3 linked regions of the Drosophila melanogaster genome follow. The main gene of each other region encodes a partner of the protein of the gene in region 3 in a complex. Each region holds a gene or a part of one and is shown on either strand. Other genes may lie near its edges.

Region 1 (11,787 bases), on a different chromosome or scaffold from region 3:
TGAGAAGCACGGCGAGGACGAACAACGGGTGAGCTATTACCCTCATTGGCACCGCCATCGCATCCCTTTTGATCCACTGCTTACTGCCTTCCTATCATTCAAGTCCCCCATTTTCCTAACCATTTAATCACCCCTATGTACCTGACCTGGCTGGCTTTCCCTTACTTAACCTTGTGAAATTCGCAAACATATGTACCTCCGCCAAGGTCACTTTTCTCGACTTTAAGTCGCTCTTCTTTTCCGCTGACCTTTCACTCACACGGTCTTTTGCTAATCTTTCTTAATCACCTCTTTCGCTACCTGCTCTCCCGTCGAGCAGCTGCTGCACTGCATCACCAAGCTGTTCAACCTGCCGATCAAATTCGAGCACCTGCAGGAAACGGGAATTGGCAAGACGGTGAATGCCCTGCGCAAGATCAGCGGGGAAGTTGGCGTGGCGGCCAAGACGCTGGTAACCAAGTGGAAGGCAATGGTGGCGAAGGAGGACCCTTCGATCGCATCTACGCCTACAGCCATACATAACGAAGAGGACTCGGGCAAGACCAAGTCCAGCGACGAGGATCCCGACCAGGAGAACAAGGGCGGCAACTCATCCAGCGGCGAGGACTTGAACACCAGCAAGCACAAGTCAAAGCATGCCAAGAGCACCAAGCATGAGCGTAGCAGCAGCAGCCGATCTCACTCCAAGAGTAGGTCTGACTCGGATAAGAAGCACAAGAGCTCTCGCCACGATAAATCCAAGGATAGAGATAAAGATCGGGAGGGTCAGAAGGAAGCTAAGGAGCACAAAGAAAAGAAGTCAAATGGCGAGCACAAGTCAAAGGATTCCAGCAAATCCAGCAGCAGTCACAAGAGCAGCAAATCCGAGAGCCACAAGAGCGAACACACCAAAAGCAAGCACGAAAAGGTATGCTTTCCTCTTGATCAAAAGTGGTTATTGTTCTTATGCATTTTTTTTTCAGGACAAAACTTCTCACAGTGAATTAAAGGAAGTCAAAGACAAGTCGAGCAAACACAAATCATCGTCCTCCAAGTCATCAAAGCGCTCCCATAGTCCCCCACGCCACGAGGAGGAGTCCCAAAAAGCAAAGATACCAAAAGTTAAATCGAAATCTGAGGAAGATTCCGCTGATGGTTTTGACTCCAGCATGGGCGCAAATTTTGACGATGTTCTTGGTCTGCTAAACATACCCATAAGTAGCAAGAAGAGCAGCAGCAACAGCAAGAGCAAGTTTGTCGCCAAGCCAACTGCAGCCCCTTCCTCGTCAGCTCTATCAGCACCTACGACTGCTGGGTCATCTAAAGAGGCACTCTCAACTAGCAGTCGACCGACCTCCAAAGTAATTAGTAGAAATTCATTTTTATAAGTTGTGGTAACATATGTTTATTCTTTAGAAACCCGAACTGTTGGCATCCACAGCTAAGCTGGAGCCCTTGGATCCAAACATTGCACTAGAACTTCCCACCATATCCAATAACTACAAGCCCATGCCATTAAATCAGACAGTTATGGACGTCGTCTTTAACCAGGGTGGCTCACACAAGGCGCAAGCATCACGATACTTTAATGAGTCAGAAGCTCTAGCGCAGGGCATCTCTTCCAAAACTATGCGGTGAGCTAGGATATTATAATGTGATGCACAAAGTATATCAACTTTTTATACTTTGTAGCACCAAGATCTATTCGGGTGTGAGAACTGGTCAAATCCTGCAGGTCCCTTCCCTTTTTGATCTCTGCACCCGCGTGCTGCAAAAGAATATTGATGGTAAGATCTTACTAATGGTCATATCGAATGTAAATAACCATCTTAATTGTTTTTCAGCATTGGAGTATACGGGTGGCGTTCCGTTTGAGGTCCTACGTCCCGTTTTGGAGCGAGCTACCCCCCAGCAGCTGCTTAACTTTGAGGAGTACAATCCTTATTTAATGGATGACAGTGATGTCCTATGGCAACAGCATGTCCAACGTCACTGTCGCAGTCAGCGGCGTGAAGAGATGGAAACGTGGCGCGAAATGTTTTTGGTAGGGACGCAAAGACCCTAAATTAATGCAAACTAAACTAAGCTGACACAAAAATTTCGTTCTAGCGCTGCCAAGAGGAAAAGGATCGCAAACTTAGCATTCTGGCCGAGAGCATCAAGGCATCGCAAAAGATAAGCGAGGCGCCTGTGCGCAAGACGCAATTGGCCTTTGTGGACTCAATGGTGAAGCCGCCGCGTAGTGTGCAGCGCAAGCAAGAGCAATATGGCACCAAGGGCAAGCTAATTGCCACTCCAGCCGCCCGAGTGGCCGCCTTGTCCAGCGTGACTCCAAATGCAGCCAAGGTGGGCGATGCCCGACTACGTGTGCTGGCCGCTGCCAGGGACACGGCCCAAGTGGGTAAGTATTGTAATGATTGTGGTTAAGAATTAAATTTACCTATAATTTTTATTGAAAAGGGGCTGGACCAGCGCGATCGAAGAAGGCACCTCTAATGGCGAAGACCTTGCAGTTTATGCGCGGACGTCTCAAACGATAGATGCGCTTACTCATTATAGCTACAATCTTATACTCAACTTCTTCAGCGACAACTTAAGCAGCAGCAGTAGCAGCAACCTCGATCTATTAGGCATTCACGGTGGGATTACCTTCCAACTTTATTGGCAAAGACTTTCAGGTCTGAATAAAGTGACATTGTGATACTAGACCTTCTACTTCCCAGTGCGCTGTGGAATCAGACTGCTGCTGTCGGCATGCGTAGCATATGCATGCTATTTATTATTTATTCATGTTCTGCCCTCTTTTATTACGCTGTATAAGTCACTATATTTAAGCCAACCGGATAAAGATAAAGCTTTTGTTGCATCCCGCTGGGTCGTAGACAAGCTCATTTACATAAGTTATGATATTTGATTATAGTTGTTCAATTCATTGATTGCATGTAACTTACGATCAGAAGGCTGATCACTCCAACATTATTTAAAAATTAAGTTCAATGTTCTTTGTTCAAAAGGGCTGTGCGTATGTCCAAAATCATAGAGGTTCCAAGCTGTATATAAATGTATTTACACAATCCTAAACCTATATGAAACTACCTAAATTATTGAAGAACAGTAAAATGTCTCTTAATGCATCGCTAATTAAATTCAACCAAAAAATTCTATATTACCTTTAGATTTATTTAGTTTTGCACATTTTTAGGTATTGGGTAAAATGTTAATATATTAAAAAAAATCACTTCAACAATTGAAATTCGATTCGAATGCTCGTCTTATTTTTAATAGTTACACATTTTTCAACTTTTGTGGAAATTGGCCACTCATTACTTATGCCATGACTTCGTTTTGAAAGACATTCTTTAGCTGTGACCAGTAGACGATGCAGGTAAAGGCATTACACTGTAACCAACTCGTTTTATTCCACAAGAAAGCTACCAGGATTGTTAAATCAAAAGAATTATTTATATAAAGAATTGTTTCACACGATAGTAACAATAATATACAACTTATTACAAAATAAATTATTTTCAAACATAAGTCGTCACTAGAAAGTCTAAATTCGGGCTGAACTTTCAACCGTCTTCTTTAAGTGCCGATGCAGTAGAGCGTCTTGCTGGTCCCGTAAAAAACATCGACCAAGCGCTGGCAGGAACTATTGACAGTAAGCACACGATTCGTTGTAGCTGATGATGAGCTTCCAGCACTACTGTTGTCACTGTGGAGCAACCAAAATAAATCATCATTACCAATATTAACAAATTGCTCCGTTTCCATTCCACAAATATAACTAACCTCATGGGCGATAGTTTCTTGATGTCCCACAATCGCAAGGTACCATCGCTGCACGCTGTGGCCAGGTGCCTATTGTGCGTGCTCCAGGAAAGAGAACTAATGCTCGCCGAGTGATCCTTGAGCTCAGCCAGCTGTGCTCCGGCGGCCAAGTCGAATATACGCACCTTCGTTTCCTCTCCGGCGGCAGCCAACATCTTTCCATCTGGGCTAAACGCCAGCTGGGTCACCGCCTGACGGCAGTCGGCAAAGACACGCATCAATTTTCCGCTGGTTGCACACCACAGGCGAACGGAGTGATCTGCCGATCCTGTGGCTATGTAGTTGCCATTCGGATGGAACGCAACGCACTGTCAGAAAAAAAAAATATATATAACTAAAAGTTCAAAGACATTTTTGGTTAAACCAACCTCAACATCCTGTGTATGCCCGGCATAAATTATGAGCGCATGTTCCTTCTCTAGCGACCAGAGGCGCGCACTCAAATCCTTGGAACCCGTTACCACGTATTGGCCCACTGGACTTTCGTCCAAGCACCAAATTGGGTAGTTGTGACTTCTGTATATGGCGGCGCAATGCAGGTTGTGGGCACGCCAGCACCGCATGGTTGCGTCTTTGGACACACTATACATGAGTGGGTAGTGGGCGGAGAAGCGCACATCGGTGACTCCTTTTGTGTGACCTCGCAGCTGAAATCCGCCGTATTCGTTGCTAATTAGAAAAAAAAAACTTTAGTTGATTAAAAATTGAAAAATAAAACCAATACTAAACCTGGAAGATGAACTTACTAGGAGTTATCAGCATATTTGCAATGTCGCGCCCTGTTGCGTTCCCGTCTCTCCTCCTCAGAGCACTTGACATCCTCATCGCTGCTGTCCTCATCCGTCTCCTCCTCTTGATTCGCGCAATTGTTCAGCTCCCAGGGACACCGCTTTTGCGGATAGCGTCTGTAGAAGCTCTTGCCGCGGCAGTAGCTCTGGTTTAACTGCCACAGCTGTACGGCAGAATTGTCGAACCCGGCTAACATGTGGCACTCACTGGGATCCAGATGGGCGGAGGTGAGGCCCCGAGAACGTTCACTGATTCTGAGAAATCGCGGCAACTCCACCTGAGACTTGAGTATCTGTTCAGTGGCCGATTTAAGGGTGTCCAAGCAGGCGTCTATATTCAGTTGTAATTTACTAAGCTCTGCAGATTCATCCGTTTCTACCTCCTGTTTGATGTCTGTTTCTAGCATAATGTTTGGCTCCTCAGCGGGTCGTTTTCGGTTCGACTTTTCAGTGAGGGATTTGCTTGGTCTTATGTCTCCGCGGGTATTAAGGGTTACTGCTGGTTTGGAAACAACATCGTCCTCTCCATCCTCACCTTCCAGGTCATCCGTCAAGCCAAGCAGGTGATCCTCACTAAAGGCGCGCTGCTCATTCTCCACTATATGGACATGCAACCAGGTGTAGAGTAGGTTCATAATTAAAACGTGGCCCCGTCGTTGGAGATAAGCGCATATCCTATTAACAACTACGGCTGTAGTATGTAGTTCGTATTTCGAAGATCGAAAATGGGCCACTGTGTCATCGGACTCTGCTGCCTCCAGCCGTGTGTAGCCACTCAGGGTTTGCACCAGGCGCATAAAGTAGTCCAGTTCCGTGTCCCCAGTGTCCTGGGCTTCCTTTGCGAAGCGTATGTTAAAAGTGGACTCATTGGCCGTAGTGGAGCATCCGTTGATCTTGGTAGGTGGTGGTGCATCGTACATATCCACGGGGGCCACCAAGTGAGCATATTTGCGCAACAACTCCACAGCGCCACGCGGTTCGCGAGCCTTGAGCAGATCCAGATAGAAGTGGCACAGCATGGGTCCATAAAAGCGCTTCATTTCCAGACGCAGCGGTTCGGCCTGGGCCTCCACGAACTGCGAAAACCGACCAAATTGCTGGTCCACAGTGTGCTGGTTGTTGGTGATAACCTGGACATTTGAAAAGGTGAAGCTATTGCCACCGTGCAAATCCGTATCCAGCATTTTGTTGACAGCAAACTGCTGTTTGTTTTGCAGCAGCAAAAAATCCGACCGCCGAAATCGTTCGTTGCTCTACGGGTTTGAATATTTGAACACTCTGAGGAATTGTATATTTGAAGATTATTCACTTACCACGTAGTTTTTCTGCTTCAGCAGGAGTCCCACGGCGCAGCGTAGCAAATCGTTTTTGGAGGAGGTCTTTTTGCTGCTCGCGCTCGACTTGTTGTTATTGCTGTTGCTGTAGACGGGCGATGCAGCATGTGCGTGGTTGCTGGCGCTGGGCAGGCTCATCGTTGCGTGTTAGCCTCGCTTTGTTCCGTATCCTGATCCCGTCCTGCAGTGCGTCCGATATGCGTTCGATTATAGTGCTGACAGCGGAGATGGGTTGTCCTATCGATGTGCATTCATCGATTTTAAGCGGCTGCAACAGCTGTTCTTTCAAAATTGTTTTCGTCAGTGATGGCTATTTGGCTTCTCTTTTATAACAATATTGATATTGAAATATTTTAATTTTAAATTTATTTTTACATTTTTAACTTATATTTATATTATATTTTATTTATATTAACTAGCTTTTTATTTTTAGCTCTATTATATTCTCTATTCTTAGCTAGTTTATTTGGCTATTGTCACCACTGAAGAAAGTCAGCTGTTTGTGTTGTTGGATTCCCGAGCGCTCTTGACAATTTCTTGTATTTTCGCTGCGGTATCTCAGTTCGAGTTTTTACGTGATATAAAACAGTACCTGGTCTTCAAAAAACGAGCCATTATGGGCACCACGACAAAGTTTGTGAACGAGTTCTGTGATATTATCGATTCCTATGGCGGGCGAGATAAGGTAACATAGAAGAGCCGCACAGCCGAGTAAATTTCCAATTAATTGAAAACACACCTGTTTGTTTACGTTTGAACCGAGTGTTTTTCCCAATTCGTATGCGCAAATTTAAAAAAATGCATCGTGGCATTTTGACTGGTTTCTATTTCCTTTTTGGACTGGTCCATTGAGGGGCTCGCTTGAAATCGAAACTGAACCAACAGGTTTCCATGTTGTTGCTGCATCGATGTTGGCATTGGTCTTTGGGTCTCGAACAAGGAAGCCACAGCAGTTTGGACCTTGCCTTACTTCTTTCTGATTCGCAATGGATTTTGTATTTCGCTTTTCGCTTATCAGTCGCAGTTCGGCGGCGATCGAGTCAAGATAATGCTCAATACTATAGCCGGCAAACCTTTAAGCCGCTACCAGATAAAGCGGATAATTCGTTATGAACGAAAGGTTTGTTTGGACTGCCGCCCATCAGGAGACACGCGATCCACACATTTCCACCATCGCGAGTTTATATACCCCTACAAGGGGTGTATACAGTGCAGACAAAGAGGGAATCTTGTATAGTGTATCTCTATTTTAATAGAAAAATCGAACCTTGAATACGATAAAATATTGTTCAAAGTATTTTAGATTTATTAATTAGAACAAATAATTTGTTATACTTGATAACCATTTGAAAATATAATATAATATATTATGTGGCTGTAAACAGCGAATGGGGTGGTCACGAACTTTGGAAATACTATAGGATATTTACATAAATTAGTCGTATAGCGACATTAGTATTCCTCCGAATTGCATAACTAATTCATTGATGGCAAAGCAAGCAAACTGAACCATTAATGGGTAAACAATGAAACCACCCACAACTCATTCCGGCCAGGACGGACGACCAGGAGCACTCCACTGGCGGCCATCACACGAGATGATTGTGGCATTCGTTGTATTCTTTTTATCGCTGATAGTATTTTATCTGTTTGTGACAACCAAGCAATTCCACAAATTGCAGGGCTGACTGGCGATTGGGGTCAGGTAGAGGCAAAGGTAAACAGCGATGCCAACTCTCGTGATAGAGCAAACACACGGCTTAACGAATTGCGCAGAACAATTATTACATATATGAAATTAAATACCTATTTCAGGTGATGAAGGCATTGTGCTACAGTGCCAAACTGGTGGCTGGCTACCATGCCAAGCGGAATCCGGAACTAGCCAAGCGATACGCCACCGCCAGCTCAAGGATCTCAGGTGCGAGAGCCACACTGCGTCTCATCGACGACATACCCATGATCCAATATGCTTTGGAGTATGGCTTGGGCGAGAATGAGCCCGATCGCGTCATGCAAGTGCTGGGAGTGACGGCCAACATTGTGGATTTGCTCTACTATCCCATCGAGAAGGTGTGCTGGCTGGCCGAGCACAAGATTGTGGATGTCAAGAATGCGGATAACTGGGACAATGTCAACTCCATATTCTGGGTGCTTTCGGTGTACCTGAACCTCATGAGGTACAGAAGAATTATTCGAATCGTCAGCTTTGAATTTTCAAATTAAATTGCATCTTCTAGGACAATGCGGAATTTTTCACTGAATCAGGAAAAGCTGAACCGAACGAATAATATAAACGAGTAAGTGGTCGTCAGCCGAAAACATCCAATAAAAGCTAACAAACCTTCCAAATCCATAGATTGGATGTGAAAACGTTGACCAAGCACCGCCTGGAGATGGTGTCCATCGTTCGGATCTCACTCGACTTTGTGCACGCCGTCAGCACGCTGCCGAAAGGATATTTGTGGGGCGGCAAGCTGTCCACCCTGCAGGTGGGTGCTATTGGCACCTTATCCGCTGGCCTGGGCATCTACCAGATCTTTGCCAAGAGAAGACTGAACAAGTAGTCGGTCCGCCGTTGTATTTGCAATCCGTGTACTCGTATTTGTTGAACAGAATTTTAAGCTAGTCGGTAATCGTTTTTGTACGTTGAGTTTTTTGTACGGCACTCGAAAGTGTGTTTAGCCAGTATGTCCTTTAAAGTAGCACAAAATACACGCTGAATAATTGTAAAAAACATGAGTTTTTGGTCTGTGTGTCCTTTATTATCTGTTATTTCTTTTATTGTGTGTTTTTAGATTCCCATACATGTATATGTCAGTTTGTGTATTGTTAATTCCCTTCTTAGCCAGCAGAATGTTTAACTTAATGTACATATATTGTCAGCCCTCTGGCGAGGGTTCATTTACCAGAGTTATTCGTATTATTTGTCGTTCACGAGAACGATTTGTTTTGTCGGTTTAGCAGTCATTGTATACAATGTGTCTTAGGCATATTTAAAATACTCATATGTCTGATATAATACTTGTTATGCATGGTTTCAATTTAAATATTTGGATTTATAGATTACATGAGGGACCAGATCAGTTGGTCGGGCAGGAGCCCAAGATCTGACCTCTATGGCTTTGGTTAAAAATAACATTTGTTAGTAAATATATTTTCATTGTACATAGTTTATTTGCTTGTGTTTGTGTGCCGTCGCAAGCGCATAAATATTAACAATTACTTTTTTAGTTATTATCGTTTTTAGTTTGCTCTGCTTGACTGCTTCCATTGGTAAGCTCTTTAGATGTACGAAGTATGAATGAAGTGGTGTTTATCATTTTATTTTTAGCCTTTATGTTTGCTGTTTATGTAACGGGGTTCATTAAAATTCATGTTATTTTGATATAGATATTTTTGGGATTTATTAATTTTCGATAATATACCTAGCTACATGAGTTATATACTTTTGTTATTGTTATTAGTATCATTGGATATTCGATTGAAGTTTGTTCGCTTCACTTACAAAAAAAAAAAGCCTCAAAAAGTTCCCAAAAAGAGTTCATGCACTCAAAATATGTTCAACTTTGTTCCATTTGCTTTTATAGTTGTGTATCTGTCTGTATTCTTTATAACCATAATGCAATTTGAACTCTTGCTCATAACAATATATAATAATTATTTAGTACATAAATAGGTATATATATTTATATTTGTATGTATTTATATTGCATGAACAGTGGCCAAAGTTAAAGGATCGGCTACAAAATATTTGTTCCAACTCTTTTCTACAGTAAAACTGTACAATCTTCCATGTTGGGTATACTGTATATGCTGTAATCCCTCGATATGGTGTACGGTTTACCCATAAAAAAGAAGTCTGGACTTTTTTAGGTGCCTCCAAAAACTAATAACCAACTGTATTAGGTCTTTATGTACCAATTTACGTCTTGCTTTATATATTTATGTATATATTTATTCTTATCGGAAGCTATTTAAAATGGCACTGCAGTAATTTTTGTTTATATTCCTATATAAGGTGGGAAAATCAATTAGTCGAACCCCCGCCAACCCCTTTATATTGGGCGAAAGGACGAGGGCCGTTACTAAATATTCTTCTAAATATCCTTTACTCTCATCCTCTGCTATAACAGTATACGAATTCAGGGCTCTTAACTCAATTCGGTTGCCCCGCAAGTAATTATTAAAATATATATTTATATGTAAGTGTATGTATATAGTATATATGTGGTATTTGATTATTGCATTAAAAGCTTAGTATTCCGTTCTGAATTATTATTTAATATTCATTGGTGTATATATATATAGGTTGTATAATAGTCTTTTTAAAAACCGTTCTTATTGCATTCTTATGCTTACTCGCTAGGTTTACGCTTAATTTTAACATATTTGCCGGGCAAATATTGTTGGTTTAAAATTCAATTTGCAAAGTTCTTGCTAATGTTCCCCCAAAATGTGTCTCACATGTTCGCTTGTGTCTTTGAATACAGTTGACAGTACATCAGTAATACGATAGTAAAAATATCTGGTATAGGGTTTCGAATACGAGTAGTATGGAGTTAGTTTAGAGTACAGAATAGGTTAGTTAATGCGTGCTAAAGATATCGGCATAAGTAAAGATATTCCATCGATAGAACTTCCTCATCATTGATTTGCACCTTAGCTGAGTTTAAAAATAATTACTCTGTATAGTGTAGAATGGCTTAAAAGTAGACGTTTGGATAATCAGATGACTTGCGTCGGTAAAATATGTTTATTTTTTTGAAATATATGTATTTGGATTTGGATTGTTAATTATTTTTATATATATATTGTTACCTAAGTTCGCTTTGCATATTTTCTTAATGTTCCATTTTTGTTTTTTTTTACTTTGCTAAAATTTAATATTATCGGTTTTGCGTGGGAAGCGTTCGATTTTGGTTCCTTTACATTTCGTTTAAACTTTATTTTCTTGTGTTTCTTCACATATTGGATTTAATCTTTGATACATTTGTTTAATCTCCCTAATCTGCTCTTTAGTTTTAGTTTATTTCGATAGGAAAAAAACTATAATTTTAAATAAATCGAAAAGCCAGTATGGAAAAGTTTAAAACTGTTTGCCTCACACATGCATGTGTTAATTTAAAATTCACGTTATCTTTGGCTCTTAAGCTTGTAAAAGCGTTAAAAACGTTAAAGTAAAACTGTGTAACATACGATCGAGATTGGGTCGCCAATTAATTCTTGCCGAAATAGCCTTAAAAAGTTCCATTTAAAAGTCGCCCTGTTTGGGCGTATCTTCATTTGTTCATTTGTTTGCTTAATAAAAATATGGTAAATTTTATAGTTATTTAAAATTGTTCACGAATGTGTACGCGTGTGTGTGTATTTATATTTGTGTGCTAGTGTAGGTATTTTAGTGTATGTATGTATGTATGTATGCATTTGAAATGTGTGAGCATGATTTTTGCGAGCTAAAAACACTTTGTTTCCAAATAGGTTTTAAACGTTTTGCTGGTTCTATCAATAAAATAATGTTACTGCTTTATCAACACCCACCTAATAAACATTAAGGCTAAAAAATGTGAATCTATCCAATGAGTGAGAAGTGAAATAAGGTCCTCTTTTGCTGTTGCAGTTGGAGCATTTATGTTTTCCCTATCAAGGTAAGTCTTACGATTACTAATAATTCAGCTAAAGCACCATTTTATCTGTATAATCTATACAGCTTTACTAGCTTAGGTTAAGATATTTCCCCATCATTCATAACTTGTCTTTAAAATATATGTGGTTCATATTGGGATCTATGGAGCTTATTTTGACCCCTGCTGATATCCATTTACAATCTATGATCTATACTTATTTCCAGGCTG
Region 2 (10,191 bases), on a different chromosome or scaffold from region 3:
CTTTTGCAACGGAGGATTCGGTGGTATTACGTTTCAGTTCATACATTTCCATTCCCAAAATGGTAAATATGAGGGGATTTTCGGGGACGACAAACTGTTGCATGCTGTTCCCACTGCTGAGTGCGCATGACTATTCCCATTTCCGTTCACTGTTAACCGCTTGAACCTGCAAGAATTGTTCCCAGTTTTTAGAAACGAAAATTTGAATTTTTATAGTGAAGTCAAAACTTATAAGTAAAACATATTAAATAAATGTAAGTTCTGTGATATTAATATCTAAATATAATTGAGAATCTATAACAAAATGCGTGCTTTAATTCTTTCTTAATTAATAATTGTTAATAACATCAATTAATTAAATACATATAAAATTAGATAAAATAATTTGCATAAATTTCACTTTAGGCTGAATTAAATTGCTGAATTCCAGACAAGGTGCTTACATCTTCATCATACTGCTGAACTTGCGACTTTCAATGAGAACACTCAATTCATATACGCATAACTTGTTTTCATCACACATCCATGCGTTCCTAACTCAAGATGTAAATAGCTGCGTTTAGGAAGTTAAAATCGTTGTTGAGTAAGTAGGTCAAGTATTTTGATCACATAATATATAATTGCTCCTGCCACTTAACTAATTAAATAAAGACAGTTTTCTTTGTGCGCTCACCTCGACCCGCCTGTCACCCACCTGCCTCCCACCTGGGCACCCAAACGCACTCGGTGGCACTGCCAATCGCACTCGGGGATGGAGTGGCATGACCATGGATGCTGTGCCACCAATGACAATGAGATGAGAATGCCCTTGGGCTCCGTTCATAGGACGGATAGGTGGATGGACGGAGCAATGGCGATGGCGTTGGCGGGATCTTTCCGTTGGAGGCGTTTAATCTCATTCATTTTGAATAAGACCGGCTCCAGCGTATTTAGCCTGAGTACTTGTGTCAACACATTCCAAGACGGTTTCAAATTAAAAGGCCGTGTAATATGCTCCTCCGAGGGACTGTTTTTGTTTTGGTTTCCTTTTATTTTTTTGCTAGCTTCTAATGGTTTATGCCTAGACAACTGTCAATGGTCTCGGGGGCTGGGCATCGGGGGAAATTGCCTCCGGCTGACGTCAGCAACTTTTCGAGAAAGCGAAAGTAATTAAAAAAGTTTAGCCGAACGGATTTTCAAAAATATCCAATTGCTAAGCCAGACATGCAATTGATGTTTCTCAACTGCACACTCTTTGTGGCAAGTTAGAGAAATTAAAAGCTTTACTTAATTAGCCGCTCAGCAAACATGTTCTTAAACATAAGTCAATTTTGAATAAAAATTTTCAATATTCATGCTATGATTTTCTGTTTACATAGTGTAATTCTATTTAACTATCATTGTTAGAAAAGTTTAGAAAACAGTATCTTTCAAAACAGTATCTTTCGAAGGATAATTAATTCTGTATTCTAAATTATTCAAGAAATTAAGGTATAGAGGCATATTTACATACATACGTATAATATGAGGGCCTTCCCTTTAAGAGAAGTTTAAGGCAACTCGGCTACAAGGGATTGGGGCATATTGACTTTACGCGGCCTGGAAATTGGCTACGTGACTTGACAATACGAAGAAATGACGACGCGACGACGAGCTCCACGGACCTGATGATGATGGTCCTGTTGGGGACGAAGCGAAGAGCCGCATGAAATGCAAATTTGGAAACATTAACAGTGAGTGTGGAGAAGTGTGGGGAGCAGTGCGCGGGGTCAAGGAAAAAAATCACAAGGACGATGCTGGAATGGAAACAAGTTGTTGGCTTAATTTCGTCACAGCCAGCTTGTTTTCATTAACTGGCCATCGAGGAGCTATCGACTGCGTTCCGGCGCTCGTTAGGCGTATGAGCAATCGATTAAGAATAATGGGCCGTTGGAATTACATCTGCAGCACAGAGCAATCAACATTAAGATCCGATTAAACTAGGATATCCCACCGAAGAAAATAACAAGAGGATACCTTTAAAGGTGCATCGATTTTAAGTCAAATTTCGGACCGCATGTTATCAGATAAACAAGCGGGTGATAGGAATAAGAAAAATTTCAAATAAATGGTTTTTAAAAGTTATTTTAAAAAGGTTTTTGGAAAAGATTTGGATTTTGCCTTTGCTATACAATCATGACCACAATTGCACATATGTACATATATTAAAAGTTCAAGTGACATTGAGCAATAATTCTTAATCCTTTTCAATTCACGGCAAAAGACAGAATGAAACCCGCCACCCATAACTGCGGAATGAATTTTAACCCCTTTACCCTTCGTTGCTATGCGTGTCACACACATTTATATGCACAACAGGAAGTTGATTATTAAGTGCGTTCGCGAGTTGCTTCTCTTAATGCCTTATGCTGCAGTCTCTCCTGCAATCCTGCGGCATCCTTGCTGGTCCTTCTCCTTCGCTCCGTCTGTGTGGCACACGTGCGAGTGCGCCTGTCGGCAAATTTCTTTATTGCGCTTTTATTTATCTGTCGGTGCCAGTTTCAACTTCGTTTACCGCTTCAATTTATCGGCTCCATGCGAGGCAGATTCACCCGTCCGTAATTGGAGTGCGTTTTTCTGTCTTTTAGTCGCAGCCTCAAAGGCCAGGATATGTGCCACAGGCAAATTGAATTAATGAATATGCCTAGTTGTTCTTGACCTCTCAGGAAAAAACTTTTTTAACGAGCCAAAATTGCTTTATTTTATAATTTGTATAATTAAAATGTAGAGCGCGTTAATTGTTGGGGATTGAATTACTTTAAATGAATTAATTGTACAGTCTATTTTTTGTGAATAAAATCAATAATTGACGCAAATAAAAATAGGCGAGGATATTAAGATCATTAAAACTTAAATGGCTAGAAAACTGCGCCGGAAATCGATGTCGCAAGAGTTGCGATACCGCCCAATCTTACGGCTGCTCATTTGCCGGAAACGGCGCATGGCCTCGTGGATCTCCGGTACACTGATTGGCTTGACCACCTCCATGCCGCGACCCTGTGTGACCTCCGGACAGACGTGCATCATAGCCGGACTGCCTCCGGCGGAGGTCACTCGGCTGTAGGGCTCGGTCGCACGGTTGTCCGAGTTCAGGCGCGTCAGGATCGAATAGTCGACAATGGCGGCAATGGTCTCATGCGCCAGATAGGCCAAAATGTTCATTGTCGGCGTTGGGATGCGAAGGTCCGCGGGCAGGTCCAGAAAGCGGCGGAACTTGTTCTTGATCTTCTCCCCATGGCGGCAGTAGAATGACGTCTTGCGCGCCTCATTGAACTCCAGGTATTGCTGGCCCGTAAGGATCTGCGATATCCGATCTGCGCGGAATAATCTTCGCATTCGGTCCTCGTCGTGTAGCTCGTACACATCGATGGCCAGCTCCTCGTCCTCCTCCTGCTGCTCCAAGTCGTCCATGAAGTCCTGCGGCCTTCCCGTGCGGATACTAAGGAACCTTTTGAGTATGCGCATATCCTTGAGGTGCTTTCGCATCCGAGCTATCTTCACCGGATGGTTGCGCATCAGGAACTCAAAGTCCGCCTGCGACGGGCAGGGATTCTGTTTCCGCCGCATGGCCACCAGCGAAGCCTCATTGAAGATGCCGCGCAGCTGCTGCTGCAGGATCTGCTCCACCAGCTTGACACTTCCCGTCCTGGGCTGATCGCTGTCGCCGAAGCTTCGCATGATATCCGCAATCTCTGTGAGCAGTGAGACAGGTGCATCATCCGGAATGAGAACGTTGGCAACGTTGCTCCCGCTGGCACCACCGGCTACATTATGTCCAGCTAGGTTGATCTGCTGTGGCGAGGGATTCGTCGGTATGCTTCCACTTTGCAGCAGAATCACTTGGCGCTGCACAAGCAGTGGCTTGATGTCCTCGGTGGTCTGCAGTTGCGGCGTGCTGGGCGCCGAGGGCGGGGCAGGTCCAATCATTATCGGCGACGCTGCCATGTCGTTGGAACCCACGCAAACCGAGTTCTGTCGCATTACTCGCTTGGCGTTGTAGTTCATTTTATTTACAAACAAAGTCACCACTTCAATCGCAACAGCTGATTTCGTGAGAATAGATAAAACCCTTTGTGAAAGCGATGGCCTATCGTTAGGGATGAACGATAGTGTAACGCATTTGTGCGACATCCGACTTTATATAAATACTGTATATTATATATATATTATTATATATATATATATATTCAGGTAACCAGAGCGGCCGAGTATTGTGCCAAATAGAAAAATGTCAACACTTGTATTTTTATTTCCCTTAATTTGTATCTCTGCATTAAATGCAAAACAATCGGTTCAGCAAACTTCAGTTCCGAACCAGTAGTTCCACTGTAGTCTACGCACCACCATTTTTGTTTGCGGATGATAACCCGTAAAGCAAAAGACAACAAATCGGATTAAACAATTACCTTAAGATGTTCAACGGGATGGTGAGAACCATCCGCGACAGCGTCGTGGGCACCTATCCGTCCTGCCACGTATCCTCGCGGCTGGAGGAGCGCAGGGCCAAGCAGCGGGCGATGCGACAGGAGCGTAGACGAAAACCGGACAAACCAGACGACTTTGTTACTTACGAGGATTCCGGCAGCGACGAGGAGACGCCCCAACAGCAGGAGGAGGTCCTGAACACATCCTACAACCTGTGCGACTACCTGCGCAGCCGGGAGAGTGGACTCCGAGATGTGGGTATATGTTGTGAAGTCGCACCACTTGCATTGCTAACGTGAACTTTGTCCCACCATCCTCTGCAGCGTCGCAGTGTCAATGTGGAGTACACCAGCCGCTATGTGCTAACCCACGACATGCTGCGCGAGACGCAGATTAGTCTGGGCTACATCAACAAGGTCTTCTGCTCCAAGTGGCTGAGCAGTCGACAAGTGGTTTTCGGGACCAAGTGCAATAAACTGCTCGTCTACGATGTGAACATGCGCCGGGTGGACGCCATCCCAACGCTCTCAAATAGCCGGGCAAACCATCCTGAGGTCCAGGGTGGCCTGCATGCCATCGAGCTGTCGCCCAGCCGATCCTTCCTAGCCACCGGTGCGCGCAACTCCTCCGATATTGCTGTTTACCGACTGCCTACGCTGGATCCCGTCTGTGTGGGCGAGGGTGGGCACCGCGACCTTATAATGGGCATGTGCTGGCTGGATGACCAGTTTCTTGTGTCCGGATCGAAGGACTCGCGCATGGCTCTGTGGCGCATCAACGAGGATCACATGGAGTTTCCAGATGGCGGCGAGGAAGCGTGTCCCACATTCGCAACCATCCACCCCCTTAGTGTCAAGGAAGTTCGCACTGCCCAGAGGGTGAGCTTATGAATGCAAATCAAATCAAAGAACCATTTTATCAATAAGATCTTTTACAGATTCGATCTCTTTGCTTCAACAAGGAGTTTAAGGAGATCGCCGCCCTCTCGCTGAACGGATACATTCACATCTTCAATGCGGAGACCTTCAAGCAGACACTCTCACGAAAGCTGCCAAACTGCCAGGACAACGTGAGCATCGCCTACCACAGCGACGGCCTTTATGCCGTTGGATGCCGTTCCTATACCATCCTTTTGGACGCCCGAACCCTTCAAACCATTAAGAAGATCACATCTCGATACAGTGGCTGCGGTATACGGGCGACTTCGTTCGAAGGTAACCTGCTCACCGTTGGCACGGGTCTGGGCATGCTCCTATTCTACGACATTCGAGCCGGAAAGTATTTGGAGAGCAGTGTGAATGCCTCGCGCACAGTCGCACTCAAGTGCAGCAAAGGAATTGTGGTAAGTGAAGAGGTTACAGTTCCACAAAATACACCAATTCACCTAACTGTTTTGTACATTTCAGTATCCGGAGGATGAGATGGATGGCTTCCAGCAGGTGAAGTATGTGCCCGCCATCTACACCCACTGCTATGACAGCACTAGGATGCGCCTCTTCGCTGCAGGAGGACCACTGCCGGCGACTTTGGTGGGCAACTATGCGGGCGTTTGGCAATAGATTGGCATAGGATCCGATCCGGGCTCACAATACTGATTAGTATTTAAGTAGTTATTCGACTTGTGATCTTTAATCTTTTGGCGCATTTCGATTCAAATCGTTCACCTGCATATGTATTCCGCCAAGACAGAATTTTTATTTAACTTGATTACTCACTTTTGGTTTTAATGAAATTTATGTAAGATTTATGTTAATGATATTTTATATTGTGTGTAAACAATATACACCGTTTAAAAGTGTAAATGTAAGCATAAATACCGATCCTATTTATATATAGTACATACAATACAAATAATGGAATACTAATTTATAGACAATGCATCTGATTTATAGTCTGATCTATATGGTAATAGAATTTCAAATTAAACAAACCATTGAAAAACATTGTTTTTAAATATATGCAAAGGCTTTCTTCAATCTACAACGCGCATATTGCCGGTGGTGCTGTATAGGGCACTCAACACAACGGGTGTGGACAAATTACAAGAGTGTACAAAGTACGATGTGCCAAACAGCAACGAGCAATTTTAAAATACATTATATATAAAAGGGAAATTGTACAAGATTTACAGAATGAATGCTATGCAACTGCCCAACGACTGACGACTATCCGCATCCAACAAGACGAATATTTATATATTATATATCCTATGATGTTCGCTAGTTGTTATTATTGGGACTGCCTCCTCCACTCCACGCAGTGAGGAATCCCGTCCAGCTGCGACTGCTACCATCTGCAGAAACTAAAAGCAATATCTTAATACAAGAAACCATACTAAAATTTAAATTTTTCTGCTAGTAGTTACCTTTCTGTCCCTTGGCCACACAGTTCAGCATTTCCATTTCGTTGCGACTCAGGCGGAGAATGGTATTTAGCACGGGAACCAAGCGCTGCCGCTCATCGACATTGTTTAACGTAAGGAACTGCAAGTTTATAAAGTAAATAGATTAAGCCCGTGGATATAGTTATTGCGTTCCTGATCTCACCTTTAAGAAGACGTTCTTCAAGTACTCGGAGTTGTGCATGTGTTGTTCACGTTCCTCGGAGCGCTCTTGGCGGCGCAATTCTTCCTTGAGCATGTCGTTCATTTGGGTCAGTTTAGCCAAATCCTGTTCGTTTTCGGCCAACAGGGCAGTCAAGTGCTTGACACGACTTTCCTGGATGCTTAGGCGTTCTTTTGTGGCCTGAAGCTGGGCACTTTGGACGGAAAAGTCTCCCCGTGCGGCCATTTCCGCTTCCTCGTCCTCCTGCTGCGAAACGCTGCGTCCGAAATTAGAGATGGTAGTCACGGTATCGCTGGTTATTTGGTTCATTGATGTGTTGAGCAGCTCGTCAAGCGGCATGAAGTCGTGGGAACGTCTCGAGGCAGTAGATATCTTTCGCTGAGCAGCCAGTTGGGCCAGAGAGACGTCTCCAGCGTGGCCATCCAAGCCTGTTTCGTGGTCCATAAGCAAGTAATCGATCTTTGCCTGCTCTGGACTGGTGTCCACGCTCGCGGCGGATGCAGTGGTATGCTGAGAGACGTTTGCTTGCATCTTTTGCGCTTCCTCCAGTTGCTCCTGCACCTGCGTTAATTGCAACTGGTGCCCGGCGTCCAGCTCATCAACTTGCTGGCGATGCTGCTGCATCAGGTCGTGTTGGAATTGCAACTGGCGTTGGTTTTCTAGCGACAGCAGGTCGTTTTGCTGACGCAGTTCGTCAACTAGAGAGACGAGCTCTTTGCTACGCTTTTGCAGATCAGTGTTATCCTGTCGCAATTCCTCTATTTGACTATCCAACTGGGCCAGGCGGGCAGCTCTTCCATCGTTGCTGGCGCGCAGATTGCGTTCACTCTCTCGAAGCGCAACCAACTCTTCTTCCAACTCCTGTTCGCGGTTGGAGCCCTTATTTTGGTTTTTGCGCAGCACAGACTGTGCCTTCAACTTGTATTCGGTGTACTCTACTCGCAGGTCCTCCAGAGCTCGTTCCGCATTTCGAAGCGCCGTCTCCAATCGCTTTTGCTCTGCCAGGTGCATTTCCAGCTCCTGGGTTTGGCTTAGTAGTTGTTGGGTGGCCGTGTTTAGCTTCGATTCGTATTGTTGGGCGCTCTCCGACAGCTGGAGACGCAATTGCTCCGCCTCGAGCTTGGCCTGTTCAACGCCATGTTCCAAATCCTTGTTCTGAGTGAGCGCCTGTTGCTTGCTGTGAACTGCGTCTTTGACCTGGACCTGCATGCGATCAATCTGCTCCTTAAGTTCTAGGGAGTGGGCCGCTTCGCCGTTTTTGGCCTCCTCTAGGATAGCGATCTCCTTGCGCAGCTGGACGATGGTGTTTTCCTTGCTGGCCAGTGATTCCTTAACGGCTTCTAGTTCGCTAGACTTAGCTGTCAGCTTCGCACTAACTTCGCTCAGGGATTTTTCAGCTGCTTCAATTTCCAAATTAAGGACACTGGAGTGCTTTACTTTCTCCTTGGACTTTAGCTTCTGGTTTTCAGCTCGAGCTGCATTTAAATCCTGTTGCAGTTGGGCCTGTGCCAACTTGATTGCCTCCAACTCCTCCTTTAGGGCACCGCTCTGTTCCATTTCATTCAGCTGCTGCGTCTGCTCCTGCAGTTTCTTTTTCAGCTTGGCAGCTATGGCTCTGAGCTTATGGTACTTCTCCTCGTAGCCTTCGTCCAGTTCACGCAGGCGGCTTAGTTCTTCGGCTCGTGATATTGTGGATGTCGACAGAACATCACTCTGGGCATCAGCATTCGCCTGCTCCAATTCCTCAACACGGCTCTGGAGTTGTTTGATCTTCTGTAACTTCTCCTGCGCCGCCTGCTGACTATTAGATAGTTGAGCCTCCAAGTCTCGTTGTCGCTTGACCTCCGCTTCGTGCTGTTCTTGAAGGCGTGAAATGGCATCACCGCGTCCTTTGAGCGCCTCGTTCAGTTCCCGCATCTCCGTTAGCAACTCTCCATGCTCTTGCTCCTTGAGGTGGTATCGCGTAAGCAAATCCTCGTTGTGTTGGCGCAGTTCTATGCAGATGGCTTCCAACTCCTGCAACTTCCTCTGCTGATTATCACGCTCCTTTGCAATGACTTTGACCAGATTTTGCATTTGATCAAGCTTGGTCTGGAATAAGCTTACATTAAGGTTCCTGGCGTGATTTTTGGTGTTTTCCTGCTCCTTCGTTACACTTATCAATTGTTCCTTGTCAATTCTATGCTGCTGCTTTATAATGACTGCAAGCTCTTCGAGAGCGGTTATCTTCTTAAGTAGGTACTCCACATTCAAATTGCTCCTTTGGTTCTTTTGCTTCTGCTTCACTATTTTGGCTAGCCGATCCATTTCCTGAACTCTTTGCAGCAAGCGCTTGCGGTCAATTCCAGTGTCAATTGTTTGAGGATTATTGTCTGACTTTCCATTGTTCAGCTTCAGTTTTTCATTCTCGGCCTGCAGGGATGCCATCTTTGCGCACAACAGTTGCGAAGCTTTGATAATCTCCACCTGCCATTTGGAAACGGATGCGGCGTACTCGTGCTGCGTTTCCAGCAGCACGCACTTGCACTCCTTGAGGTTCTTCAACTTGCGGTGTACATCAATGAAGCGGTCCTTTAGAGAATTAAACTTCTTGCGTTGCTCAGAGTTAAGTTCCTTGATGTTTTGGTACTTTTGCTGCAGCACACTCGACTCTTCTTCCATCGTGGCGACTTGCTGGCGAAGACTAGCGTTTTCCGCCTCCGCTTCCTTAATTTTGGCAATGTCCACTTCCAAAAGTTCCAGATTCTTGCGCTGCTCGTTACCCAGAGCATTGACCTGTTGCATAGCCTTTTCCATGCGATCCACATTGGCAAGGAGGGCATCGTTTTCATCACTCAGTCGCCCAAGTTGGCGCTTTAGGCTCTCGTTCTCGATCTCGAATTGCGTCAGTCGATCGGCATCCTCTTTGGTCTTTCGTTTCAGATTATTCACTTCCTCGGTGAGGATGAGGTTCTTATCGGTGAAGTCCTGGACCATTTCCTGCATGGCTGGCAGGCTGCTCTGCTTCTCCGCCGCCCGTTTAAGGGCATCCTTGAGTCGGTGATTTTCCTCGGTGAGTTCTGAAAGAGAGTGGCTTGCATTATTCTGGAAGATTCCCTGAAACTCTCCATCAAACTTACCATCTTTTGCCTGTTTCGCCTTTTTAGCGATGTTGAGCAGGCCTTTGTATTTGCTGATGATTTCA
Region 3 (9,989 bases):
TGCATCATCATATTGAGTCGTTCCATGTTTATGGAGTAGACGGCATGCGAGCCTATCAGGTTGCGATCCCGTAAGGCCAGTTGGCAGTCCTTGAGGGTGATTACTGTGCGTTCGGTGGGTTGGCTGAAAGAAACAAAACCTAAGTTTGTGTTTCACATGAAAATCTCATTATTATTCAGGAGCTTACACTTCTTCGCAGGCGGAGAGGAAGGTCACATCGTCGTTCTGTCGCCGCATAAAGTTGGCCGTATTCAGTTCCTTGTCCAGTTCCAGCGGCGTGTCGTCGACCTTCTGCCGGGTGACGGTGTTGCGCAGCGAAGGATCACGCAACGGAGCACCTACATCGTAGTAAAAGTTTCCCTCGCCGCTGGTCTTGTAGTGCTTTCGTTTCTTGATGATTGCCGATAGTAGATCCTTGAGCAGAACTTGCACGGCCATGGCAACGTACTCGGCGACATTGTCGTCCACGGAGACAAGTCCGATTTCCCAGGCACCGATCAGAAATCGTCCCATAATGAATCCCGCGTCGGGCAGGAAAAGTTCCTGCGCGCAGTACCGCTGCGACTGAAGCTGTTGCTGTTGCTGGTCCGACGGAATACCGATCGTGGTTGGCGGACGAATGATTTGCATGTTGTCCTCGGCTACAAAGTCCAGGACGTCGCTGAGCTCAAAATTAAGGCGTTCGGCGAAGGTGCGGCAACTTCTTTTGCGCCGTTTGCTTCGGTTGCCACTACTGCTGCTGGTCTGGACGGCCGGAGGATTCTCCAGGGGAGCAAAGGCGTCGATCTTGTTGAGCAGGGCGAGCAGGAACTGATTGTGCAGGTGCAGTTTGTCAGGTGTTAGGATTTTCCGCGACTCCGCATCGAATTCCTCCTTAGTCCAACGGCTCCGAAACCAATTCTTCATGTTGGCCCGGTAACGCTCCCAGTTGTCGCCCAGAGCCACCACTAGCGCCTCCTTGGTGGCCAGAACTCTGTCGGTAAGCATTTTAGTATTGGGAATAACAACTAAACAGGAAAATCCAACTGTTTGCGAATTGCTATATAAACAAATGAATGCAGCTGATTCGAGTGACCGTTCAAAGAACGGCTGAAAATACCAGATACATTTGAGATAAAAACCGTTATTTTTGAAGAACCCTTTAAAAAAATATTGGTTTTAATCTTTAGTGTTCACAGTTTTTATTGTGTACAAGTTAGTTAGTTAAAATATAAACATTAAAGATAGAGCCCACGCCATTCACACAACATAAGATGATAATATTTGCGAAGCTATTTGATCATTAAAAAAGTAATAGAATAGAATAAATATCTTGGTTAATGTTAAAAAATTTAACATAATTTAACATAAATTGTCAATACAATGAGTATTGTATATAAATGCTACGCATAAGAACATACTTAATATTGAAGGTAAACATTACACTGAAAATAACTATGGTTACATAAATATGGTATCGGATTTAGAAGGATAAGGAAAATTCTTTTAGCCTAGAAACACTCATCCTAATTGACGCGATCCCATCGCCACACGGTGCTGTCGTCGCACACGCAAACTAAAATGGAACCGTCTTTGGAGAAGGAAGTCTGTCGGATGGTGGAGTTGCTTTTGGGATGAACCAGCTGGCTACACTTTGTTAAATTGGGATCATTGCAGTCCAATTCCCAGACAAATGTTGTGCCCAGTTGATTGCCCAAGGCCAGAATCTTTTGCCAGGCGTTGAAGGCGAAGCGTACGAACCAGATTTCCGTAGAAATTGGTCAGATAGGGGAGCATAGCGTCCAATACACGTGGGTCCATTGGAGTGGTGGCCTGGGCATCCAGGTAAAGTGGTCTACCCTCGGTCTGTTCGTTCTTTATGTTGAATCGCACCTGTCTCTCCCGGAATTCTACGAACGAATACGATTTTGGTAAGCGGTAACTGTGCATCTTGGAGGATCCGCTTACCTTTGGATGTGGCGGCTGGTTTAGCCGCTGTCCTGGAGGAGGTGGCCTCGTGTCTAACCACATTGGCTAATGCATTCGTCGCCCGGGAGCGGAGGACCTGCGCCTGGATGCGTCCCAGCACTTTTTGCATTCTGATGGAATCCTAGAAATTCTGGTGTTAAAATTCGTTATCACGGATTTCACAATCAGTGGGACCGTATTCGGCGGCACGAGATATACCAAAGGACTCCGGAATTCACTTTAAAATTATCTGATTCGATTATGCAGAAGCAAGTTTCTGAATTTCTTTGAACATATGAAAAATGAATAGCATCTGTGCAAGAAACCAATATTTTTCAGATATATTCGCACTTAATGTATAATTTACAAGGAACTATATTTTCAAAAACCAGTTTTCATCTTAAATATGTTTGCTTACAAAATTATCTTAATCATTCAGCGAACTTAAGTTACGAATTCACGAAATTGCGCGCATAGGCACGGTATATTTTTCTCAGTGAGCCATAAAATACTCAAAGAATACTCAATACGCAAAGTAAGACAATTATAAACAAAAGTACAAAAGTTGAAGCAGTTTTGAAATAATAAATATAGGAAATAGGCAAAAATTAAAATCAAATTTAAATATGGTTGTCTGCCGGTTCTTTCAACAAGGCTCCTGCCGCTATGGCGCAAAGTGCAACAACGAGCATTTCGATGTTAAGTGAGTACATTGATATTAAAACTATGCAGATGAACTAATAACTTAATTATTTTAGGCAATATCTCAAAGCCGACATGGAATCCAGCCTCAATGGCAAGATGTGGCCTTTGTCCGCCTACGGACCCTTTAAGGACAAAGCGAATTTCCCCAACTTTATTCAGGACCAATCCTTCGAGGAGGTGCGGTTCATGTGTTACGAGGCCAAACGACAAAACCAATTCGAACAGTTCAGCCAACAGTTTAACCGTGAGGTCCTAGAGGCTAACAACAAGATGAAGACCATGCTTCAGATGTCGCCGCAGGTCCTGGAAATGATGATCAAGATCCACGAGACGCCGGAGGGCGGCACTGTGTCGGCTGCCCCTCAGCAGTCCAGTAATCCCTTCGCTGCAGCAGCTCCGGCTGCCGCCAATACATCTGCATCCATTTTTGGAAAGCCCACGCTGAGTGCGGGAAATATATTTGGGAATGCCACAAGCCAAGCCAGCAACACCAATAGCATTTTCGGCGGAACGATTAGCAATGCCAATGCAAGGAATAGCATTTTTGGTGTAGGAGCTGCGGCAACAGGTGCACAAAGTGTCTTTGGACAGCCACAGCAGCAACAGCTGCAGCCTGCTGCACAAGCTTTCCAAGGGGGCAACATTTTCGCCCAGGCGCAGGTTCAGGTGCAAGCTCAGCCAGTGAATCCTAATCCTTTCGGTGGTTTCCAACAGCAGCAGCAGCAACCACAGTCGACGGGAATCTTTGGCCAAGCCGCAAGCCAAAATATGGGCGGAATGTTTACTCAGGCTTCTCAGCAACTACAACAGCAGCAGCAGGCAGCTGCCTCCGGATTATTTGCTCAAGCAGCAGCATCTGCATTCCCTAATCAACAACAGATGCAGCAGCAGCAACAGATGCAGCAGCAGCAACAGATGCAACAGCAACAAATGCATCAGCAGCAGCAGATGCAACAGCAACAAATGCAGCAGCAGCAACAACAATTTCAAATGCAACAGCAACAGCAAATGATGCAGCAGCAGCAGCAGCAAGCTCAACCGACCAACGAAATCCAGTCCTCAGTTTACAGTCGCATGGAGGATCTCAACGAGCAGGAAATCGAAGCATTCAAGGCGGATCAATTTCTACCAGGTGCCTTGCCATTCAAACCGCCTCCACGGAATTTTTGCTGAACCAAACACTTAATGGTACACTAGCGTATAATGTATATATTTTTACAGAAGCTGATATAATAAAATAATTAGAACTTATAAGCTAATGCATCATCATATTGAGTCGTTCCATGTTTATAGAGTAGACGGCATGCGAGCCTATCAGGTTGCGATCCCGTAAGGCCAGTTGGCAGTCCTTGAGGGTGATTACTGTGCGTTCGGTGGGTTGGCTGAAAGAAACAAAACCTAAGTTTGTGTTTCACATGAAAATCTCATTATTATTCAGGAGCTTACACTTCTTCGCAGGCGGAGAGGAAGGTCACATCGTCGTTCTGTCGCCGCATAAAGTTGGCCGTATTCAGTTCCTTGTCCAGTTCCAGCGGCGTGTCGTCGACCTTCTGCCGGGTGACGGTGTTGCGCAGCGAAGGATCACGCAACGGAGCACCTACATCGTAGTAAAAGTTTCCCTCGCCGCTGGTCTTGTAGTGCTTTCGTTTCTTGATGATTGCCGATAGTAGATCCTTGAGCAGAACTTGCACGGCCATGGCAACGTACTCGGCGACATTGTCGTCCACGGAGACAAGTCCGATTTCCCAGGCACCGATCAGAAATCGTCCCATAATGAATCCCGCGTCGGGCAGGAAAAGTTCCTGCGCGCAGTACCGCTGCGACTGAAGCTGTTGCTGTTGCTGGTCCGACGGAATACCGATCGTGGTTGGCGGACGAATGATTTGCATGTTGTCCTCGGCTACAAAGTCCAGGACGTCGCTGAGCTCAAAATTAAGGCGTTCGGCGAAGGTGCGGGAACTTCTTTTGCGCCGTTTGCTTCGGTTGCCACTACTGCTGCTGGTCTGGACGGCCGGAGGATTCTCCAGGGGAGCAAAGGCGTCGATCTTGTTGAGCAGGGCGAGCAGGAACTGATTGTGCAGGTGCAGTTTGTCAGGTGTTAGGATTTTCCGCGACTCCGCATCGAATTCCTCCTTAGTCCAACGGCTCCGAAACCAATTCTTCATGTTGGCCCGGTAACGCTCCCAGTTGTCGCCCAGAGCCACCACTAGCGCCTCCTTGGTGGCCAGAACTCTGTCGGTAAGCATTTTAGTAATGGGAATAACAACTAAACAGGAAAATCCAACTGTTTGCGAATTGCTATATAAACAAATGAATGCAGCTGATTCGAGTGACCGTTCAAAGAACGGCTGAAAATACCAGATACATTTGAGATAAAAACCGTTATTTTTGAAGAACCCTTTAAAAAAATATTGGTTTTAATCTTTAGTGTTCACAGTTTTTATTGTGTACAAGTTAGTTAGTTAAAATATAAACATTAAAGATAGAGCCCACGCCATTCACACAACATAAGATGATAATATTTGCGAAGCTATTTGATCATTAAAAAAGTAATAGAATAGAATAAATATCTTGGTTAATGTTAAAAAATTTAACATAATTTAACATAAATTGTCAATACAATGAGTATTGTATATAAATGCTACGCATAATAACATACTTAATATTGAAGGTAAACATTACACTGAAAATAACTATGGTTACATAAATATGGTATCGGATTTAGAAGGATAAGGAAAATTCTTTTAGCCTAGAAACACTCATCCTAATTGACGCGATCCCATCGCCACACGGTGCTGTCGTCGCACACGCAAACTAAAATGGAACCGTCTTTGGAGAAGGAAGTCTGTCGGATGGTGGAGTTGCTTTTGGGATGAACCAGCTGGCTACACTTTGTTAAATTGGGATCATTGCAGTCCAATTCCCAGACAAATGTTGTGCCCAGTTGATTGCCCAAGGCCAGAATCTTTTGCCAGGCGTTGAAGGCGAAGCGTACGAACCAGATCTCGCACATCTTGTAGTCAAAGTGATGCAGCACCGTGGTGGCCGACTCCTGTGGCTTAATCTCATGCCACGATTCTGAAAGTTTGCCCGGCTTCCAGCAAACAATTGAGTTCTCGCAGGATTTCGAAAAGACAAAGTCGCCGAACCACTGAACGCAATCCACATAATTTCGATGTATATCCCTTGTCGAGAAGTCCGGAAAGTGCTCCTTGATCGTGGGAAACGGACCCGTATTCTTGTTGGGACTAAAACCAGAGCTCAGCTCGATGGCCTCTTTTATATCGGGCTTATCCAGTCGCCAGAGCTTCAGTGAGTGATCCATTCCACTGGACATGATGCGATCACCGCGCAAATCAAAGTCCACAGACAACACTTCGTCGCGGTGTCCTTCTACGCCGCCGAAAACCGCCACACACACGTCCGACTGAATGTTCCAAAGGCGCAGGGAGTGATCCTTGCTGCCGGACAGAAGTAACTGCGGTCTAGTCGGATGAAACTTCAGCTCGTTAATGGCGTGCCCGTGACCAATGTAGTTTTTGCTGCACTGGTGCTTAACCGGATTGAATATGCGAATGACGCCGCGGTAACCAGCCGCGGCAAGCACAGGATCGCCGGTCACAGAGTCGTAGGACCAAGCGCATGTGTAGAAACTTTCATCGGTCTAACGAGGGCGTAACGATGATGTATGTAAGTAATAGCATATGATGAGTACTTACATCTGGGTCTGCGTAGACTTGCAGCAGTCGAATGCCTTCGCAGGACTCCTGTCCGGTGCTCCTCTCGCACTCATAAATGGAAACCCGATCCTTGCCAACGGTGGCGAACACCTGCGGCTGGCCTCTGTCCAGGAACGGATTGAACTGCACTCCGAAGATCTGATGGTTGTGGTCCTCGCGGACATGGGAGCTGCAATGCATCCGGGATATAAACATTATGACTTATGTTCTGCCTGGAAAAATCACACCTATATTTGTACAAGGGCTGAACCATTTTGGGTGCCTTGATCCGCCGACACAGGCGGTTCAATTTTCGTGTATTTGGCGATTTGCTTCTGGTGGTGGTCGTAGTAGTGCTGAACAAACTGGCGGTGTCCTCCCGATCCACGGAATTAACTTCGTGCTCATCATCCGGCTCCACAACATTGCAGACACTCGAGGAATTATTGCTCAGCACTGCCTCCGCTGGAGAGTGGTCAGTGGATTCGTCCTCTGCCGGTGGCTCTTCGCTCGGAGGAGATATTTCACTGGGATTCGTTTCGGTCATATCTGTTTTATTCCGGCAAACTTAAAAGCTTCTTTTGTTTACAAATTGTTTATCCCTAGAGTGACCGTCTGCAAATACTGCAGTGCAAAACAGTGTTGCCATTCTAGAGCGAAAAGACCTAAACGAACAACCCTGTTTAAATCACAATTATAATGTATTTAAAAATCTAATTTACATAATACTAGTTTGCTTAAATCTACTTCTTGGCGGCGAGCAGCTCGTCCAGGTGCGCCTCCACCTCCTTATGTGCCTTGACGCTATGTTCGGTGCGAGAGGCGGCCTCGTGGACGAAAAATCCGCGCAGTAGTTCTGCTTTTGTTTGAACAAGTTGCGCCTGCGCCTGTTGCAATTTTAGTTCGTTTGCCAACTGCGGCCCCAATTTCAATTCGGCGGTCTCCTTGAGAAGCGTGCACTTACGAGTGAGAAGCGCAACCAATTTCTCCAGACCGCTGCGATGCTCCTCCTCCAGGCGCAGAATCTCCTTTTGGTCGCAGCTTAAGTCCGCCTCCTGGCCAAAGGCGTCCGGGAACTCCTCGCGTATCCTGTCGCACAATTCGGCAATGGGTTGCAGAGTTGTGCGTAATTGAGCGGACAATTTGGTACGCACCGTCTTGCGATCCGTGTAATTCAAGGGCGGAAAACTGCTGCCGCTCGGTAGACCTGTTAGATTTCCAATGGTTATTCACTGCTTTTGGAATAAACTTGTAACGCGCCTACCAAGCACCTGCTCCTGACCAGCTCCCTCCATCTCGCCGAGTCGCGCATAACTTCCAATGGAAACCAATTTGAGGGCTCTTTTGATTTCATCACTCGGATTTGGGCCCACATCCAGGCGTCTTAGCTCGTCCAGCACTAGCTTCAGCTTGAGCACCTTCTTCAGCTCCGCATCGCGAGCCAGCCGCAAATCTTCCGAGTGTTCGGGCAAGAGCGTGGCGGATGGATCATCCATTTAGGTGGTAAAATGCTTAAATTGACCCGAAATTGATTGTTTGATTCGAATGGGCAAGCGCATGGCTGCGATACGGCAACGCTACTGAGCAACAGTGTGACCGGTAGCTACTAACGATAATATATTTTACTTATATTTTATAATGGTCACCCCAAGATTATTATTTAAAGCGCGCTAGAGAAACGAGCTAAATTCAAAAATGTTGATTACCCAAATAATTATGAAACAAATTCGAGACTATCCCATTGTGTCCACAATAAGCATTGCCGTCAGCACTGTCCTGGCCTCAGAGGTGATTTGGAAGCTGGTGCAGTGCTCGCGCAGCAAGCGAGAGAAGGCAAGCCGCGTGCACGAAGTGATCATCTTCAATGAACTGGGCGAGATCTGTGCGGCGGTGCATATGCGCAACAGCAGCATGGGATCCCAGAAACCACAAGTGTCGCCCTGCTGCAACACGCATTGTTCGCTGCGGAATGTGGCCAAGATCGTAGAGCAGATCGATCGGGCTGTATACTCCATTGACCTGGCCATATACACCTTCACCTCGCTTTTTTTGGCGGATTCAATAAAGCGGGCCCTGCAGCGCGGCGTGATTATCCGGATCATCAGCGACGGGGAGATGGTCTACTCCAAAGGTTCTCAGATCAGTATGCTGGCACAATTGGGAGTTCCAGTTCGCGTCCCCATTACCACGAACTTGATGCACAACAAATTCTGCATAATCGACGGCTTCGAGCGCGTCGAGGAGATTCGTCTGCTGAGGAAGCTCAAGTTTATGCGTCCGTGCTATAGCATCGTGATCAGCGGCTCCGTAAACTGGACGGCTCTTGGACTGGGAGGCAATTGGGAGAACTGCATTATCACAGCTGACGACAAACTCACAGCCACGTTTCAGGCGGAATTCCAACGAATGTGGCGGGCTTTTGCGAAGACCGAGGGGAGCCAAATCCAGCTCAAGTAGAAATCAATTGATTTAATGTATGACTACCAAACAGTTCCTCAGTATGCCAAATAATTATAGTTCTTATTTTCTAAGTGCCTTCAATTAAACTAAAACTTTTTAAGGCAGCTTGATCTTCACACACAAAGGAGTGCCAAATTAATTAAGCAAAACAAAAGTAATCAAAATGTATACCTAACAGTATAATCCGTATGAAATCTTTATCACTTCGATTGAGTTGACTAATTTTCAACGTGCATTTAGTTATGATCAGCTTTGACTATATATATAACTTTCTACTTTATTCATCATGTTATTGAAAGCTTTTAAGTAAATAAAAGTTAATTACAAAAAAGATTACATGTATGTATGTACAAAACATTCCGAAATATAACTGCTACAGATTTCTTTACTCTTATATAGTTTCTAAACCAAACCAACTTATCAACTATTTGTCCTGTTGCTTCAGCTTATCAGCGCGGCGCATAAATGACTCCTTTAGGCCGTTGAGTCGTTCGATTTCTGCCAGAATCTCATAATATTCCAGATAGGATACACCCGATTTCAGTAATATTTCTTGTTTTAAAGTGAGCACGCGGGCGACTTCCTTTTGCTTGCGATGCAAAGCGTTCAGTTTGAGCGAAACGGACGACTCCTTGGGCGCCTTGGACTTCTTGTCGTTCTTTGATTTCTTGGACTTCTACGGGGATCAAAATGAAATAAGTTTTAGGTCGCAAATAATTTGTTTACGTACTTTAATTTCCATTGTTTATGTGGAGATCTCCGCGTGTTAAGTTGTTATTAAGTTCGTGGTGAATGGCAAAACAAAAAATAAGAAGAAGAGTAGGCGGTGTAAGTTTAGTCATTCAAAAAGGTAATTTTAACAAAACGAATTCTAAATAAAAAGGTCCTTTTAACAAATAAAAAGTTCCGAAGTACTACATTGCGTGATAATTTAATAATTACATTCAGTTTTAATATCTTAAACAATTTCGGTGGCTTTGTGCGCGCATCACTGTGATTGGCATTTAATTTTACCGTGGCACACCTGGTATATTTCCGCTTCCCGAACTGCGGTCACACCGGCGTCTTTTTCTTGTGAAATTTTCTGTATTTTGTTGTGAAAATAATAATAAATATGGGTTCCTCGTCGTCGGGAAAGAAACACAAGAAGGACAAGAA

Evidence for each region.
Region 1: Ada1-2 (region 3) and wda share a complex: the UniProt entries of both Drosophila melanogaster proteins name them as parts of the spt-Ada-Gcn5 acetyltransferase (SAGA) complex.
Region 2: Ada1-2 (region 3) and Spt3 share a complex: the UniProt entries of both Drosophila melanogaster proteins name them as parts of the spt-Ada-Gcn5 acetyltransferase (SAGA) complex.

What each region holds. Positions count from the first base shown.
Region 1 is NT_033777.3:23,251,930-23,263,716, forward strand, and holds wda (will decrease acetylation), read right to left. Parts: upstream 6,159-11,787; 5' UTR 6,071-6,158; coding exon 5,912-6,070; intron 5,852-5,911; coding exon 4,557-5,851; intron 4,480-4,556; coding exon 4,179-4,479; intron 4,119-4,178; coding exon 3,772-4,118; intron 3,695-3,771; coding exon 3,565-3,694; 3' UTR 3,141-3,564; downstream 1-3,140. Other genes in the region: EloA (elongin A), read left to right, coding at 1-28, 320-907, 963-1,340, 1,396-1,613, 1,672-1,766, 1,824-2,023, 2,089-2,380, 2,440-2,519; Pex11c (peroxin 11c), read left to right, coding at 6,981-7,052, 7,748-8,112, 8,173-8,232, 8,292-8,499. UniProt on the Drosophila melanogaster protein: Component of the transcription regulatory complex SAGA, a multiprotein complex that activates transcription by remodeling chromatin and mediating histone acetylation and deubiquitination. The SAGA complex predominantly acetylates histone H3.
Region 2 is NT_033777.3:12,011,058-12,021,248, reverse strand, and holds Spt3 (Spt3), read right to left. Parts: upstream 4,094-10,191; 5' UTR 4,024-4,093; coding exon 2,869-4,023; 3' UTR 2,699-2,868; downstream 1-2,698. Other genes in the region: DCAF12 (DDB1 and CUL4 associated factor 12), read left to right, coding at 4,431-4,697, 4,767-5,321, 5,381-5,785, 5,850-6,002; GCC185 (GRIP and coiled-coil domain containing 185 kDa), read right to left, coding at 6,663-6,745, 6,809-6,926, 6,990-10,066, 10,127-10,191. UniProt on the Drosophila melanogaster protein: Component of the transcription regulatory complex SAGA, a multiprotein complex that activates transcription by remodeling chromatin and mediating histone acetylation and deubiquitination. The SAGA complex predominantly acetylates histone H3.
Region 3 is NT_033779.5:11,987,902-11,997,890, reverse strand, and holds Ada1-2 (transcriptional adaptor 1-2), read right to left. Parts: upstream 4,990-9,989; 5' UTR 4,899-4,989; coding exon 4,099-4,898; intron 4,035-4,098; coding exon 3,908-4,034; 3' UTR 3,837-3,907; downstream 1-3,836. Other genes in the region: Ada1-1 (transcriptional adaptor 1-1), read right to left, coding at 1-123, 188-987; Qtzl (quetzalcoatl), read right to left, coding at 1,648-1,889, 1,948-2,077; CG18789 (uncharacterized protein), read left to right, coding at 2,574-2,650, 2,706-3,825; escl, read right to left, coding at 5,417-6,316, 6,372-6,561, 6,620-6,918; dgt2 (dim gamma-tubulin 2), read right to left, coding at 7,115-7,578, 7,636-7,867; zuc (zucchini), read left to right, coding at 8,067-8,828; CG34163 (uncharacterized protein), read right to left, coding at 9,256-9,507, 9,562-9,573; CG6686 (uncharacterized protein), read left to right, coding at 9,946-9,989. UniProt on the Drosophila melanogaster protein: Component of the transcription regulatory complex SAGA, a multiprotein complex that activates transcription by remodeling chromatin and mediating histone acetylation and deubiquitination. The SAGA complex predominantly acetylates histone H3.